Linked DNA regions of Pelodiscus sinensis. The protein of the gene in region 1 interacts with the protein of each later gene in a pairwise test. Links are inferred from orthologs where the notes say so. Each region holds a gene or a part of one and is shown in the gene's direction. Other genes may lie near its edges.

Region 1 (7,916 bases):
GGTTTACCAGTAAGGGCTAGTGCAGCTCCTAGCCTGCCGCAGGGATGGAGGTGCTCCAATCCTTTGGGGCTGGCCTAAATAGCCCCCATCCGCAGTGGGCGCTCTATTGTCCCCCTTAATTGGTTAACCAGTTAGACATAAGGGTTATCAAATTAAAGTGGATTTTACATCCCTAATTCTCCCAAGTCCCTTGTATGTTTTTTGGAAAAAAAATGTTCCTGCTTTTCCACCTTGAGTGCACCTTGGAGCTTTTCTTTGTTGTGTGCAACCGACCAGGCTGTTTCACAGCTCCTGTAAAACTCTTGTAATTATAAATGCTCAATTACTAACACCCAAAGCTTCAGGCCCAGAGAACAGTCCAGCACAGAACAGCGAGGCTGACTGTTAAAATTAATCTTTTAAAGCTTTCATCAACTGCATAGCTCCACATTGTGTTCTTACAACGGTCTTTGGCTGTGTCTACATTGGCAAGATTTTGTGCAAAAGCACCTGCTTTTGCGCAAAATCTTGCCACTTGTCTACGCTGGCCGCAAGTACTTGCACAAGAACACTGACGTTGTGATGTATAAAATCAGTGCTTCTTGCGCAAATGCTCTGACACTCCCACTCAGGGATAAGCCCTCTTGTGCAACTGTTCTTGCGCAAGAGGCCAGTATAGACTGGCAACATTAATTTCTTGTGCAAGAAAGCCCGATGGCTAAAATGGCCATCGGAGCTTTCTTGCGCAAGAGAGCGTCTACACTGGCACAGATGCTTTTGCGCAAAAGCACATCTCTTGTGCAAAAGCACATGCCAGTGTAGACACTCTCTTCAGCAAATACTTTAATGTAAAAACTCTTGCGTTAATAGTATTTGCACAAAATCTTGCCAACATAGACGTAGCCTAAGTTGGCAAGAGTTCTAGCTGTTCAAAGCCTCTCTGCCTCCACCCTAACAGCAGCTTTTCCCCCATGCATGATATATTGCACAGAACACAAGCAGCTATAATCATTGTGATGGTTTTTCTCACTGAGGTCCAGTCTGAAGAAACGCTGTCACTCTTTACTCATAAGTCTTCCAAAAACATAGTAGTCATACTGCACCTGCTAAGAGAGCACCTTACTCTTCCACAGTTTGCGAACCCCACATTGCCTGTCTTCTGTAGCAGAAGATGATTAATGGCTGTATACATTTGTGTGACAATGGCTCTCACTGGATTTTCAAACTATAAAATGATTTCCACTGACTGATAGCAATCTGGCATTGCAAGTTTCCAGATTGTGAACACTACACTTCTGTCACTGCTTCTTTTTTTCTGGTGTCCTTGCAGAGGAGGACTGGTGCCAGATCAGAACATAGATCTAGGAATATGGCCTTCCTTAGTGGAAAGTTCTGCAGCCACTGCTACTTGTCATCCCAAATCTGCATTACAATGTGATCCCATCAGTGGTGCACCACCATCTGCAGCTGCTCCATTAATGTCTCCCATAGCCTTGTGTTATTTTTCACTATGTTCCTGAGCAAACTATCCTAGAAGAAACTGGCATTTCCATTGTTGCCTGCAAGTCTGTAAGTACAAGAGATTTGTGTGTCCTGTATTTGCAATATTCATGATAATGGCGATGCTAGATCTCTGTTGACTCCTTGCTTCTGTCAGAGATGCAGAGACCAAATAGTGCCATGTGTATTTTGTAGACTTTTTTTTAAGGCACAGTAATTGTGATCTATGAATAGTATAATGGATAGAGGAAGTTGCATGCTGGGACCCCTTGCTCCCTAATGTCCTGGACATGTCGTTTCCATCTTAAAAGGTATTCCACCATGAAGTAGTTCAGGGCACATTGGGATACTGATCCAGGGCATGGGACTTTGCAATAACCCAAACACTCTTGATGAGTATTTGCAGTGCTAAAACAAGTAGCCATGTATTCACATGCCCAAACGATTATAAAAATTTTGGCAGATGTATGCTGATGTAACTGGTGACCAAAAAGTGTAAGATAAAACATGGCCTTAATAAGAAAAGACTACTTGATAGTAGGGATGTTAAATATCGGTTAATTGAATAATCAATTCAATTGATTATTCAATTGCAGATCCATACTAACACGGCTACCCCCTCTGATACAATTAACCTCATGAATTCTTATCAGTTAGTTGACTATTCTATTGTCTCTGGAACAGGGCCAGCAGTCAGTGTGCTCCGGCCTCACTCCCGAGTAGCCCCCTGCCACTCCATACTGCTGCCTCTGTATCAGAGGCAGCAGCATGGGGTGCCAGGCAGGAGCTGGTCTGTGTGAGGAGCCGGTTTAAAAACCAGGTCACCTGATAAAGAGGCAGCAGTCCCTGTCTAAGGGGGTCTGAGCTCCTGGACCCAGTGCGAGACAGAACTGAGATGGGCTGCCTGCCCAACTGACTTCTAAGACACTTAAATTCAGAGCCACAGTAGGGGTAGGTCTGGGACCTGTTGCCAGGCTGCTGACCAGCCTGCTAAAAAATTTACTGGTGTGGGGAGGGAATGTGTGTAGTCTATAGCATTAACCCTATAAGCTTTTGCTTATTGATTGACTACACTATTACATCCCTACTTGATGGTAAGCATATCCTTGCTTTGAGTAAGGTAGGCCTTGAGTTCACATTGTGGTCAAATCTTTGACCTAATGGGGGATGACTGCTACTACAGGTTACAAGAAATCTGTTAAATCAGTAGCAACCAGTAATCACAGATACTCTGTGTATCTAAATGTACAGGTCTGGGGATGTTTGGGGAAACAGATAAATTAGTAGTGGAGAATACAAGTGGTATTCAAGAAGGGACTGATCCACTAACAAAAGGAAAAATCTGGAGCTGCATCTTCAAGAAAATCTTGATGCATTTTCTACTCAAACCAACACAATCCTCAATATTGACCAGACAAAATGAGTATCTCTGAGAGCTTAAAATTTCTGTGCAAGATTGCCTTTTTTTCTGTGCATTGCACCCAAAATCTTAAATGTCTTAATAGACAACAAGGCTTCTGCTGCACGTTACTATTTTACACCTATTCATGGACAAGATCAGCTCAGTACCATCTCAGGAAGCATGCCAGCTGTTTTGAGGAGGGGAGGAGCAGCACACGTGTTGCGAGATCCCCAGGTACCAGTCGAGCTGTCCTTGTCTTCACCTGCTGGCCAGTCCTCCCCAACAGCACCCTGCTCCCTCACCCTGGCCAGGGCCCCACCAGCATCTGGCCCCATCCAGACTCCCACCTACACCCTGCCCAGGGCCCGACCAGCACCCTGCTTCTGCCCCCTTGCCAGATCCCATCCCAAACTCTGCCCCTGCCTTGTGGCCAGATAGCATTCAGCACCCTGCCCCTGCTTCATGGCCAGATGCCCACCAGCACCCTGCTCCTACCCCCTCCCTCCTGGCCAGACACCTACCTCCAGCTTGCTCCTCTACCTTATTTTCTACCCAGATTCTGCATCCCTATCCCACTCACTGGGAGCCCTGTCCTGCCTCATTTCAGAGTGTAGAGGGGCCCACAAATTCCACTAACCCTGAAACCCCAGAAAGAGTTAATCTGGCCGGAGGGCCTTGAACCTTAGTTCTACCTCCTCTTCTCCGCCCCCATAGGTTTAGAGTGCTGGGAGAGTGAGGTGTCTCAGCTGGGGCTACATCAATGAGACTGGGGGGGTTTTGGAGGGTGGTGTGTGTGGTGTGTGGTTTATTTTGCATTTCACTAGTGTGGTCTCCAACTGATTTTTCTGTGGGTCAGTGACCCCTGACTTAAAACAGGTTCCCCACACCTCTCATAAATAAAAACAATGCTGAAACATTTTGTGTTTGACATATTTTATTTAAAAATGAAGCCTGTCCAACAATCCTCCAGTTGGGGCCAAGCCCCCATCTGGATGCAGCATCATAACACTCCTGCACACACACACCCAGACCCCAAACCTGAGCCTATCATACACTGGCGTGAGCCCCTTAAATCCCCACTGTACACCCAACCTTCCTGCCTTGAGCCCCTTATACACCCCAACCCTCCTCCTGACCCCAACACTCTCCAGCCTGGAGCCCCCTCCCTGAGTCAGCATCCCCTTCTCCTCCTCCTCCTGCACCCGAATTCCTTCCTAGAGCTTGCACCTCTCACCCTTTCCCACACCCAAATCCCTCATTCCCATCCCAGAACCAGCACCTTCTGTCTCAACACCAGGAGCGTGAGTGAGGCCTGGAGACAGCAAATGATGGAGAGGAGGGGAACAGAGAGGGTAGGGCCTCAAGGAAGGGATCAGATCTTGGGGAACGGATGGGGTAGATATTGGCTTGCCCTGACATTTAAAAAGTGATCTTGGGTATAAAAAGGTTGGAGACCACTGCTCTAGTACAACACTGAACCACCTCTGAATTCCACAGATGACAGGCATTTACACATTTGTGATGAATGGGGAAAGGAGGAGAAACAAAATTATCACTCACCGTATTGTGACACAGATTGAATCAGTTTTTCTGAAATGTTTAAAAAAAAATCAGTCTGAGGCTGATCTGGGCATTGAGACATTTCTGTCCAACCACCTGAAATTTGCTAAAATTTTAAGTAACTGAAAAAGTCTCTTAATGAAAAGTGCTTGGCCACATTCACCTTCATTGTTGCTCAAAGCTCTACTGGTAAAGAAACGAAAAGAGCACAGGTCCATTCTTTTAAAAGCAGTGCCCACTCTTCAGTGCTTCTAACACAGAAAGAAAAAAAAGTTTGTTTGAACCCAAACATTGCAGCCCGCTGCTATTGTGTAAACTAGAAAATGAAACTCTAATTGCTTTGTTTGCTTTTTCCTTTCGCACGCTACAAAAAGCACCCATGGTAAAAAAGAAATTGGGCTAAAATAGTTGTAATAACCTGCTTCCTCATTTAACACCACTAGATTGTAACTTGATAAACTAGGAGAGAGAGAGAAATACACAGCATAGGGACAGGATGATCTTTGCCTTGGGTCCCTTAGCTTAGCAGCTCAGTGGGTAAGAGATGGGGGGAGATGTCATGTGACCACTAGCTTTTTTTTTTTGGTCCTGATCCCTATGGCTAGAATAATACGTTGCTGGGACCAATCACAGGGCAGCCTTCTGTTGTGCCAGCTTTATAAATGGTGGCAGCTACCACTCCCCAGCTTCACACGCAAGACGAGAGGCGATTGTATCACTGCTGGAACAGCTCCTCCCCTCCCTGCTGCTCCTGCATGTGTGATTGAGTGAGAGACACTGCCTATTGCTACACCCGTTTCCCACACTCAGAGCATGGCATAGACTCTCTGCATCGAAGGGGGAATGGAGTTTTAATGCACAGATCAAATCAGGGTCTGTGTGTTCAGGGTGGGTTTAAAGTGCTATGTGAGTTCAAAGTTCACAGTTCAGTTACCCACCCCTCCCCAAAAAAAGTGCAGTAGTTTTTGAAATGCAAGATGGCGACGAGGCAGTAGGAGGAGGAGGTACAGACACAGGCTGAGTAGGAGAGAGGCAGAGAGCTGCACTTCACGGTAGGGATTTTAGCATTCTTTGCTTTCTCTGCTGGGGGTGCTGGGCGTGTTGGAGAGCGTGAGTGAAATGTCTTTGGTGGAAGCTGGGAAGTATTTCTCACACACACATCTCTAGCCATTGCTTCTAGAACTGAGATTTGAGAGGGATTCTCCCTTCAGTTTTCAATCATTTATAATATGGGAGAAGGGTGCTGAGATCAACAAACTCCCCACACCCTGGCTCAGTGATCATTTCTAGGGAAACGTTACAAAAAAAAAGATGTCTTTCCAAGGTTTAGGGGAAGAAAGGAGAAAGGAATAAACCATGGGAGAGTTCTTACGGCCAGAGACAGGCAAAGGGGTGTCTTCACTGAGCAGTTTTATACTTCTAAATATTTTTTAGGTGGAAGGGGCTGAGTGTGTATTTCTCCCCACTCTTCGCCTCCCTATTGTTTTGTCTGCAGATGATGGGACCTGTGTTATGCTTTCTCCCAATGGTGATTTAGAGGAGGTTCTAAAATCTAAATACTGTTGTGGGTGGCTTTTTGGGAGAGTTGGAGGCTCTGATGGGGGGAGGGAGCAATACTGAAAAAGTAATCACAGTTTTGAAATTTACAAATTTGATGATTCTTGTCCCAGTTGAATGAGATTCCTAAATCTCCTGGGAACATGCTGTAAAATCCCTCATGGTGAAGTATTTTTTTGTTTTTAAGCTACTGCAAAATTGAAGAACCAGGGAGATCTTCCTCTTTCCTCATCTCCAAATATGAGTTTGGCAGCTATGCAGAGAGGATTTTGTGTATGTTTTTGTCTTTCACAAATGGTGAAGGAAAATTGGACAAGTCAGGTGAAAAAGCAGCATAAAGAACTTAATTTTCATAAATTTGAAGGACCCAATATGCTTGTGTTTTTAATATACCAGTATTTATCCTTATGGATCTTTTAGTTAACTAATTGAGTCCATGGGATAAGTTCTAGTTCTGGCATCTTAAAATGCAAAATGAATTAGTTTGAAAAGATGGAACCTGTAGCAGTGTTTGCAGGTAAAGTTTGGAAATGTCATTTTTACTTTTTTTGGGACATATACACATACACCCAGGCCTGCATTCTGATTTTCAACTCTTCTCCAGATTAGGATGCACAGAAATAGAGATCCAAAGCAGTGTCAATAAACCACATACTTTGAAAAGAGGTTCTGTGCTTCTGAAAGGGATCAAAACACCTGCAAGTAGTGAATACTAACTGGTAGGTATCTCCATGTTACTTCTGAACATTTTAACCTTTCTGGGACGGCAGTTAACCATACTAATGATGTGGCAGTTTACCTTTCTCAATTTGCCATTTAAAATATAAGAAGTTGGTGTGTAAATGGATTTTTAACCAGAAATAAATAGCCCTTTTTTTAAAAATAGCATGCTGGAGGTATTCAGAAATATGAATTTCATTTTTAAAAAGCTGCAAAGTGTAATCTAAAACTTCTTTTAAAGGCACCAAAGTAAAGAGGAATTAAAACCACACAGTCAGTATAGAACAAAAATGTGTTTTGGTTACAAGGATTTTACAAAATCTAATAGGGCAAAAAATAATGTTTAAAGTAGATTCATAGATGATACGACCAAAGGAGACCATTATCATCCTCCTGAGCAACAAAGACTAATTAATTAATTCCTGTTTGAATTAGAGCATATTTTTTTAGAAAAACATGTACACTTGATATAAAAATTGCCAATGATGGAGAAGCCATCACAGTAAATCCATTGATTAAATCATTCCAGTGGTTAATTACATTCACTGTTTAAAGATATATGTCTGTCTTGTGCTCTGAATTTGTCTAGTTTCAACTTCTAGCTATCTGATGTTGTTGTACCTTTGTCTATTAGAATTAAGGGTCCTTCTGTTACCAGATTTCCATTCCCTGTAGAGATACTTATGCAACCTATCTTAAATCACCTCTTAATCTTTTCTTTGATTCAAGTGAATACACTGAGTCCTTGAGCCTCCTGTTTTTCAGTTCTTTACAAATTTTCATGGATCTTCTGAATTCTCTCTAATTTATTAACATCCTTCTTTAATTGTAGAAACAGTGTGGATATGGTAATCCAGTCATGATAACCCCAGGATAGTAAAATAACTTTCCTAGCCCCTCTTGATAGTCCCATTTTTATACATCCATACATTAGCCTTTTCTGAGTCTCTTTAACTGATGTGCATAGTGATATACCACCTACCTCTTTTTCAAAGTCATTGTTTCTCAGGTTAGACTCCTGCATCCTGTAAGTATGACATGCATTCTTTGTTTTTGTATGACTTCACGTTTTGTTGTATTGAAACACATATTGTTAGCTTGTACCCAGTTTATCAAACAATACAGGTTCCTCTGTATCAGAGACCTGTAAATCTTCTTTATTTATAACTCCCACAATTTTTGTGTCATCTGCAAACTT
Region 2 (7,582 bases), about 220 Mb from region 1:
TAGACAAGGGAAAAGGAAACACCCTGAATTTTATGCTGACATGCCATGTAACTCTATGCCTATGACTCTCATCAGCCAATCACATTACTTTGGGGGAAGGGTTAGGATACTTTCCCAATTGAGCAACTGCCATAACAGTTGGCAATGCCTATGAAGGAACAAACTACCCAGCACTCATGAAAGGCGGGATTTTCTTTCCAATGTCTGCGTAACTAAGCCTTGACTGCTTCTAACCATAGGACTTTAAAAGTACTTATCTTAGTGCTGTTCCCTAATTGAAACCTTAGCTACCAAAAGGGAAACTTCAAATAGTTAGATGCAGAGATAAACGACTGTAGAGATGCCAAGCCTGTAACAAGCTAATGTGGCTTCAATCCTGCATCAGTCTTAAAAAGTCTTTTCAATCATATGTAAGGTAACTCCGATGAACTACTATGACTGAGGTTTTGTCTATATAGCACCATAAAAAATTAATCTGAATTAACCACAACTGTGAATCTGAAGCGGGTTAGTGAAACCATATTAAACCCCTGTGTATACACTGTTTTTCAAAACTATAGTGACCCCTGATTCCATGTGATTTAAGTCACTTGGGGAATGAATTCAACTAAACCAAATTAAGGCTACTTTAATTCTGAAGAATAGGATCACAATTTTTAACTTATCCACTTCAAATTCACACAGTGAGTTAATTTTGAATTAATTTTCCTGGATGTCCTTATGTAGAGAAGCCCTGAAGGACTTTTTGTCCACCAAGCCATGGCTTAAGGACTACATTATGCAAATGTTTACCTGCTTAAAGCTGGATCCTATTAGGTGCTGATATTCATACAAATTGAGGAAGATCAGCATTTTACAAGATTAGTCCCTAAGAAGTCCTATTTCTTTGGCGAAGGTCTACACCAGTGTTATTTACTTGAGTTAACGGATTTAGTCAGCAAATACTTACTCAGAGTAGGTCAGGGATGAGCAACCGAGGCATGAGTGGCCCTTCGTCTCAGTGAACCACAAGACTGTCGTAACCAAGACAGTCTCCAGAGATAGGATAGTTTTGCTAATTGTGATTGCATACCTGTAATTTGCATGGTGTGCAGACTGAAACTTAGCAGCGCTTTTATTGGTTGCAGAGGGAGTGCACGCCTTTCATAATCAATATTGTGTGCAATTAGCATGCACTTCCCTTTACATGCATGTCACATTAGTAATACTGATAGAAAAAAAGGTTCACGGAAACCAGCAGACTCTGGCAACCCTATGCATGAGAACAGTGAACAAAATGTCTCGTGGACCACACATGAAACCCTGATGGGCTGCAGGTTGCCTACCATTGGCGAAGGTCATCTGTTCCACCATGTATTTAGCTGTGATACTGAGTATATTTCCCTGATTTAAAGAAGAGCTCTGTGTAAATGTCTCTCTCACAAATGGAAGTTGGTCTAATAAAAATATTACCTCACCACCTTGTCTCTCTAATATCCTGGGACCAACACAGCTACAATAACATTGTATAGAAGTAGATAACATAGTTGTAGGAGCAATGTGAATACTCCCTGAGCATTTTGAGAATACAAGTGTTTGTCCTTTATCTTAAGACCCAAAATTTGTATCTCAGAACAAACATTGAGTGTACCAGATTAGCCATTACAAATACGTTAACTACCACAAACAATTAGGCAATCAATAACTTCAAATAAAAACTTCTAATATAGACAAATGAGGAAGCCCTAATCCTGCACATGTGTAAGCATTTGCAAGACTGAAGCCCAGCAATTTATGTAGTAACAATTACCATAGTTTCTGAGAGCTAGGGTTGAACACAATTGCAGTTTTGCCCTAAGCCAATATGAATCTGTGCAAAAATAAGATGTACTCAAGGGAGTAAGGAGTAGTTAGATCATGATGTAAATCCTTTTTCCTCTTACTATTTATAGCATAGTTAAAAATTATATGTCAGAAAGTAGCTGTCATTCTGGAGTTAGGGGCCCAGTCTTCTTCTGAGAGACCCCTTGAGGGGAAATGAGGCAGCTTGGGTACACCTGTAAGTAGTTAATTCACTCAGTAACTAAGAGGCAGTTAATTAGACAGGGAAGCACTGAGGCATGATGAAAGGCTAAGGGCCTCAATCAAAGGGAAAACAGCTGAAGAAAAAAGGGAAGCCCAGCCCTCAGTGAGGTGAAGGGATTGTAAAATGAAGATTCTTCCAACAGGCTGGGGAAGAAGCTGCCAGAAAAACCAAATGCTCCAAAAAGGACAAATTAGGGCAAGAGGCACGAAAAGCTTGCAAAGGAGGAGAGGCAGTTCATGGAGCAGCAAATAATTGAGAAAGATGGAGGCTGGCTGCTTCAAATATGTTTCCTGAGTTGAAAACCACAGGAGGCAGTGGGCCTGGGTTCTCTATGTGCCAACTCTGTGGGTGCTTTGGACAGTGCATGACTCTAGTGGTGGGGAAGCTGGATGGGGTGTCAGAAACTCCCTAAAAGTGGGGTGGGGTCACTGGTGCTCAGACTGCAGTCCTAACCCATTCTCAGCCACATGACCCTGTCCCTCCTCTGCCACTTCTTCTTGAGGCCCTGCCTGTGATTCACTTGGAGGTCTCTCTTCCATTCTGCTGCTTCCTCAAAGGCCCTGTGCCCACTCCAGCTCTTCTTCCAAGGTCCCTGCCCCCAAGACTTCCCTCAGTCTCTTTGCCTGGTAAGATACCAATGATAGACACATATTTAGTAACCAGAATATGAAAGACATGAATAAATATGCTGAAAATATCATCTTCCCAAACACACACCCCTCTTCAAAAGCACCATCTGGCAAAAGCAAGTCAGCACCTATGCTGGCTTTCCCAATTTGCTCTAGCCAAGGGCTCTGAAGAAAGCTAAACCCAGGAGCTTTAGCCCCATTAGAGTTATGGGGCTTCTGATCAATAGTCCCTGTAAGCTGTGCACTCATGCGGCCACTCAGGAAAAATCTGAATGCCTCCCAGCTGATTGTCAGAGATTCCATAGATAGCTTTTGTGTTTCTGTTGGTGGTGCATATTCACACATGCCTCGCTGCACATACGAATGTATTCAGCACATGCATGGAAAATATCCACACATGGGATAGAAAAAATTGGCAGGAACAGTGCTTCTGAATCTCCATTATCTTGAAGGGAATAGATACTACTGGAACCTAGCTAGAAGGCTGGTCATAACAAGGACTTGATAACAACAGACTTGAATATGGTGCCATTGGGGGGATGGGAGTCAGGTAGTATTGTTCCCCATCCTGCTGGCAGGGGCGCTAACCGCTAACGGCCCCATATTACAGTGTCTAATTCTCTAATTACCTTTAAAAATTTTAGCTATAGAACAAAAATTATACTCAATCAATATAAGGTTGCAACTATTTTGCAACCTATTAACAGGAAAGCTCCAATGATCTAAGTTTATCAAAACCCTGACTTTAAAATAAAACCCATATTTTCACGGTAATATGCAACCATACAATGCACTGCTGATAACGAAAAGTTGTCTATCAATCAAATCCATCAAGTAAACTTCAAGTAGATTATCTACTTACATATTTCTATTTGTATCATTTATTTCAGAGATTCTAAAATATTTTCTCACTGCTTAAAAAATAGCAGAACCAAAGCTGCTTAACTCGTGCTCAACAAATTTTTAAAAAAGGGTTTTAAAGCCCTGATTCAGCAAAGACGTATGCAAGTTCTTAACTTTAAACATGATCAGTAGTCCCCATTGACTTGAACACAGTTGCATGATTTAGACAGTTCACAGCACATACAATTAAGTGCGTGTAAGTCTTTATATTAGGCATTAAGAATGTGATTTACTTTACTCAGTCCTCTGTTATCTTAATGGAAGTAATCACGTGTCAAATTATTCACAAGAATAATGTTTGCAGGATTGAGCTTGATAGTATGTTGTGACAAAATATGATGTTGCCCTGAAAAAAAGAAAAAAGAAAAAAAAAAAAAAAAAAGCTGGTCAAGCCTGTAATTACAAGGCTTTCTTCTCTCATGTAATTTCTAATGACCATCAAAATTCAAATTCATTTGCATACACTAGCATTACATATTCCTTTAATATTGACACACCATATAAGTTGCATATTATATCTAAACATACCACAAAATATTTCTAAATATTATAAATTACACACAAAATGCACACATCAACAGTATTCATTTTGTGAAAGGCCAGTTTCTGTAATCACCATAGTTAGACGTATGAAGCCAATTTTTCAAGAGTAGCCATGGGTTTTTCATTCTTTAGTTTTTGGGTGTCCCAGTTCAGTGATCCCTTCTGAAAAATTTGTCCAGAATTTCTACAGATTGTATTTTCATAGCATGCACCCTATCTTACCTTGGTTAATGTATATTCCCTCTAAATGCCAATAAACTCACTGCAGGGTCATGGCTTAATATTATGATCTAAAAACTAATATATAATCCATCAACAGTTAAGAATGCGATTTCAATGTATTAAAATAAAATAAAATGAAAGCAGAAAGAAACAAACAGCAACTCCAGCAAACACCACTAGAGTTCTCCTTCTCCCAAATATCCCTAGTACAATCCTAAACCCTGTTTACCCCAGAAACCTTAACTGTGGACAGACAGAAGAGGAGAGGGAGAGAATATTCAGACACAATAAAACTCCGAGGGGGAAAAATATGTGGAAGGAGGCGGCAGCAGCGGCCTGGGGAAGCGATTGAAAAGTTTCCCCTGGCTTAACTTCTCCCTCCCCTCCCCCTTCCAGCAGCAGGAGCAGCAGCAACAGCACAAGGTGAGAGAGACTTTGGAGTCTGGGGAGGAGGGGTGCGTGTGTGAGGGGGGCTTGAATTTACAGCCCTGTGGATGTTTCTGTCTCTCTCCCCCTGGCTTTGGGGTGAAGAGACAGCGTGTCTCGTGCTGGGTGGAATTTTTTTAATATGATGGAGGATTATAAACATGGCGCCTTAAAAAAAACCCTACAAAAATCTGTACACAGTGATCCAAGGAGATAGGGGCAGGGGAAGGGCTGGTCGGGAGGGGAGCGGGTTCCTGGGGGGGGCTGCCACTAGAATAATAAAATGTGGGGAGCTGGGGGGGATTTTGTTTGCTGTTGCGGGGGGGGGGGTAATTTCCTAGCCAGGGTGGAAATGGAGCAGGGAAACTGGGCGCGGGGGAATATTAATAATTATCAATCCTCGTTGACAAAGCTCCCTCCCCCCGCAGCCATGGGCTTTAGCTGCAAAGGGCTGGGATTGCGCCTCCCCCGCGCACGCCAAAGTTACAATAAATAACCTAGGGGCTGGGGGGAGGCGGGAGAAAGCCCCTCCTGAATCTTCCAGCGCGGCCTGCGGGGAGCGGGGCAGCCGGGGCCTCGAGTGAGAGGAGCGGCCGAGCGGGATGTGGCGCAGACGGGCCACAGCCCTCCCCCCACCCCGCACGCCAGGCGCCTGGCTTGCCCCGGCCCCGCCTGTGGCTGTCGCTGGGCTGAGCCTGCTTAGGGACGGGGCTGGGCCGGATAATGGCAGCTGCTCTGCAAGGCTGTCTCTGAAGCAGCGACACGGGTAGGGGGATTAGCCCCGGGGGCGGCACTGGGAGGGGGTGAGGGCTGTACCCTCGGCTCCCCTCTTAGGGCAGACGCGGGGGAAGGGCAATATCCCTGCTTGGCCTCGGTGGGGCAGACGCTGGGGGGGCATTGCTCCTGTTTGCCCCTGATAGGGCAGAAGCAAGGGGGAAGGCAGTACCTCTGTGGTGCCCCCCAAAGGCACACCTGGGGGGAGACAATACCTACTGGGGGCCCTCCCCTGCTGGGTCCGATCCTGGAGCAGCGGCCATACCCTCACCTCTCCAGGACCCCATGTCAGGCAGACACTGCTGGGGAGGGGTGATACTCTAGCTCCCCCTGTAGGGCAGACATGAGCAGGGAAGTTGCATCTAACACCCTCAAACTCTTTTCTAAGGGGAGAAATGAGGTTTAGGTCCCCAGTCTCCCTGGGGGTACGTCTAGACTACCGCGTTTTGTCGACAGAAGTTTTGTCGACAGATACTGTCGACAAAACTTCTGTCGACAAAGAGCGTCCAGACACACTGAGTTCTGTCGACAAAGCAAGCTGCTTTGTCGACAGAACTCCGTAGTCTGGACGCAGTGTTACAGGCAATAACACCTTCTGTCGACAGAGTTCTGTCGACAGAAGGTGTTATGCCTCGTAAAATGAGGTATACCAGCGTCGACAAAACTGCTGAGTTCTGTCGACGTTATGTCGACAGAACTCAGCGTAAGTGTAGACACTGGTATAGTTTTATCGACAAAAGTCCACTTTTGTCGACAAAACTAGGTAGTCTAGACACACCCTAAGAGGAGATGGGCACCCTGCTCCTAAAGCCCCTTACAGGTGAGATGCTCATTAGGCCCAGGCAGCCATCACTCTGCTTCCTCAAATCCTCTGCGCTTTCCTTCCTCACCTGCTGGATGGTCCCTTCTAGCTCTTGTGGGATTGGCTCTGGTTTCCCATTGTGTCTTTGTGAATGGAGAAGCTGAAGTTTCATTTACAAATGATCTTCAGCCTCCCACTGCATTGACATAAGTGGTGTGTTGTTCCTTTTCTCCTGTCTCAAAGATTTGCCTGAGGACTATAGGTTTCCTTCCCTTATTTATTTCAACAGAAGAGGTGAAAGTGTGAAAGGAGAAGCAAATATTGAAAGTACTGAAAGCAGAAATATAGTGGGTTTTTTCATTACATTTTCTTGGCTCTCTTTTAGAGACAAGTCAGTATGTTCAATGTGACATTAGGGACTTGTCATCTGAAGAAGTGGGTTGTGCCCACAAAAGCTCATGATACCATCTACATGTTTTGTTAGTCTTTAAGGTGCAGTAGTAGACTACTTGTTGCCTTTTTAAAGTTTTTCTAGTTACAGACTAACTTGGCTACCCCTCTGAAGCTTTTGGGAAAACTTTGTGTGATGTTTCTGAGCTCACAGTTTTTGTCCCTGAAAATCATTCTGGATCTGCCATTAAGTGTATTTGGCCTTGTTCAAATGCAAAGTTGTCAACAGCATTTAAAAGACTCTAGTACAGTGTTTCTTAAACTTTTTAAGACCAAGGAACACCAAACAATTTTTTTTATGAGGAACACCCAAGAATTTTTTGTTGAGGAAAAAGAAAGGTCGGGGGAGGGGGAGGTAAGAAGGTAGGGGGGAAAGTTATTGAGGGGGAAAAAGGGTCAGGGGAAAGTTATGGAGGGAAAAAAAAAGTTGCCTGCCCCTTTAACGGCTGCCATTTTGTAATTCTGTTCTCCAGCACACCTCCAACTGCCTCATTCATTGGAACACAGTTTAAGAAATACTGCACTAGTGGAAAAGAACTAGACTTGAGAAACCTAGAAACATAGTTGAAAAATCAAATACTGAATACAGTGCTAGGTGTTGTATAATTCAGTGATGGTATGACTGACATTTTAACATCTCAGAATAGTATTTTCCTCTCACACTGTACTGATTGCATTACTTGTGGAGTGGACAAGAGGAAGGTAGAAAATTTCTCCCACCTTTTTGAGGCCTGTTTTTATTGAACTTTATGGTATTCTTTGTAATTA

Evidence for each region. The genes of interacting proteins can lie anywhere in the genome.
Region 2: the proteins of ZHX1 (region 1) and ZMYND11 interact in a two-hybrid assay, tested with the Homo sapiens proteins (2 studies listed by BioGRID and IntAct). The link is inferred for Pelodiscus sinensis from reciprocal best matches to the Homo sapiens genes ZHX1 and ZMYND11.

Annotation. Positions count from the first base shown.
Region 1 is NC_134712.1:19,902,912-19,910,827, forward strand, and holds the start of ZHX1 (zinc fingers and homeoboxes protein 1), read left to right. Parts: upstream 1-4,906; 5' UTR 4,907-5,493; intron 5,494-6,602; exon of another isoform or gene 6,603-6,607; 5' UTR 6,608-6,717; intron 6,718-7,916. UniProt on the Homo sapiens protein: Acts as a transcriptional repressor. Increases DNMT3B-mediated repressive transcriptional activity when DNMT3B is tethered to DNA. May link molecule between DNMT3B and other co-repressor proteins.
Region 2 is NC_134712.1:237,858,164-237,865,745, reverse strand, and holds the start of ZMYND11 (zinc finger MYND domain-containing protein 11), read left to right. Parts: upstream 1-4,572; 5' UTR 4,573-4,785; intron 4,786-5,181; exon of another isoform or gene 5,182-5,554; intron 5,555-5,781; exon of another isoform or gene 5,782-5,828; intron 5,829-7,582. UniProt on the Homo sapiens protein: Chromatin reader that specifically recognizes and binds histone H3.3 trimethylated at 'Lys-36' (H3.3K36me3) and regulates RNA polymerase II elongation. Does not bind other histone H3 subtypes (H3.1 or H3.2).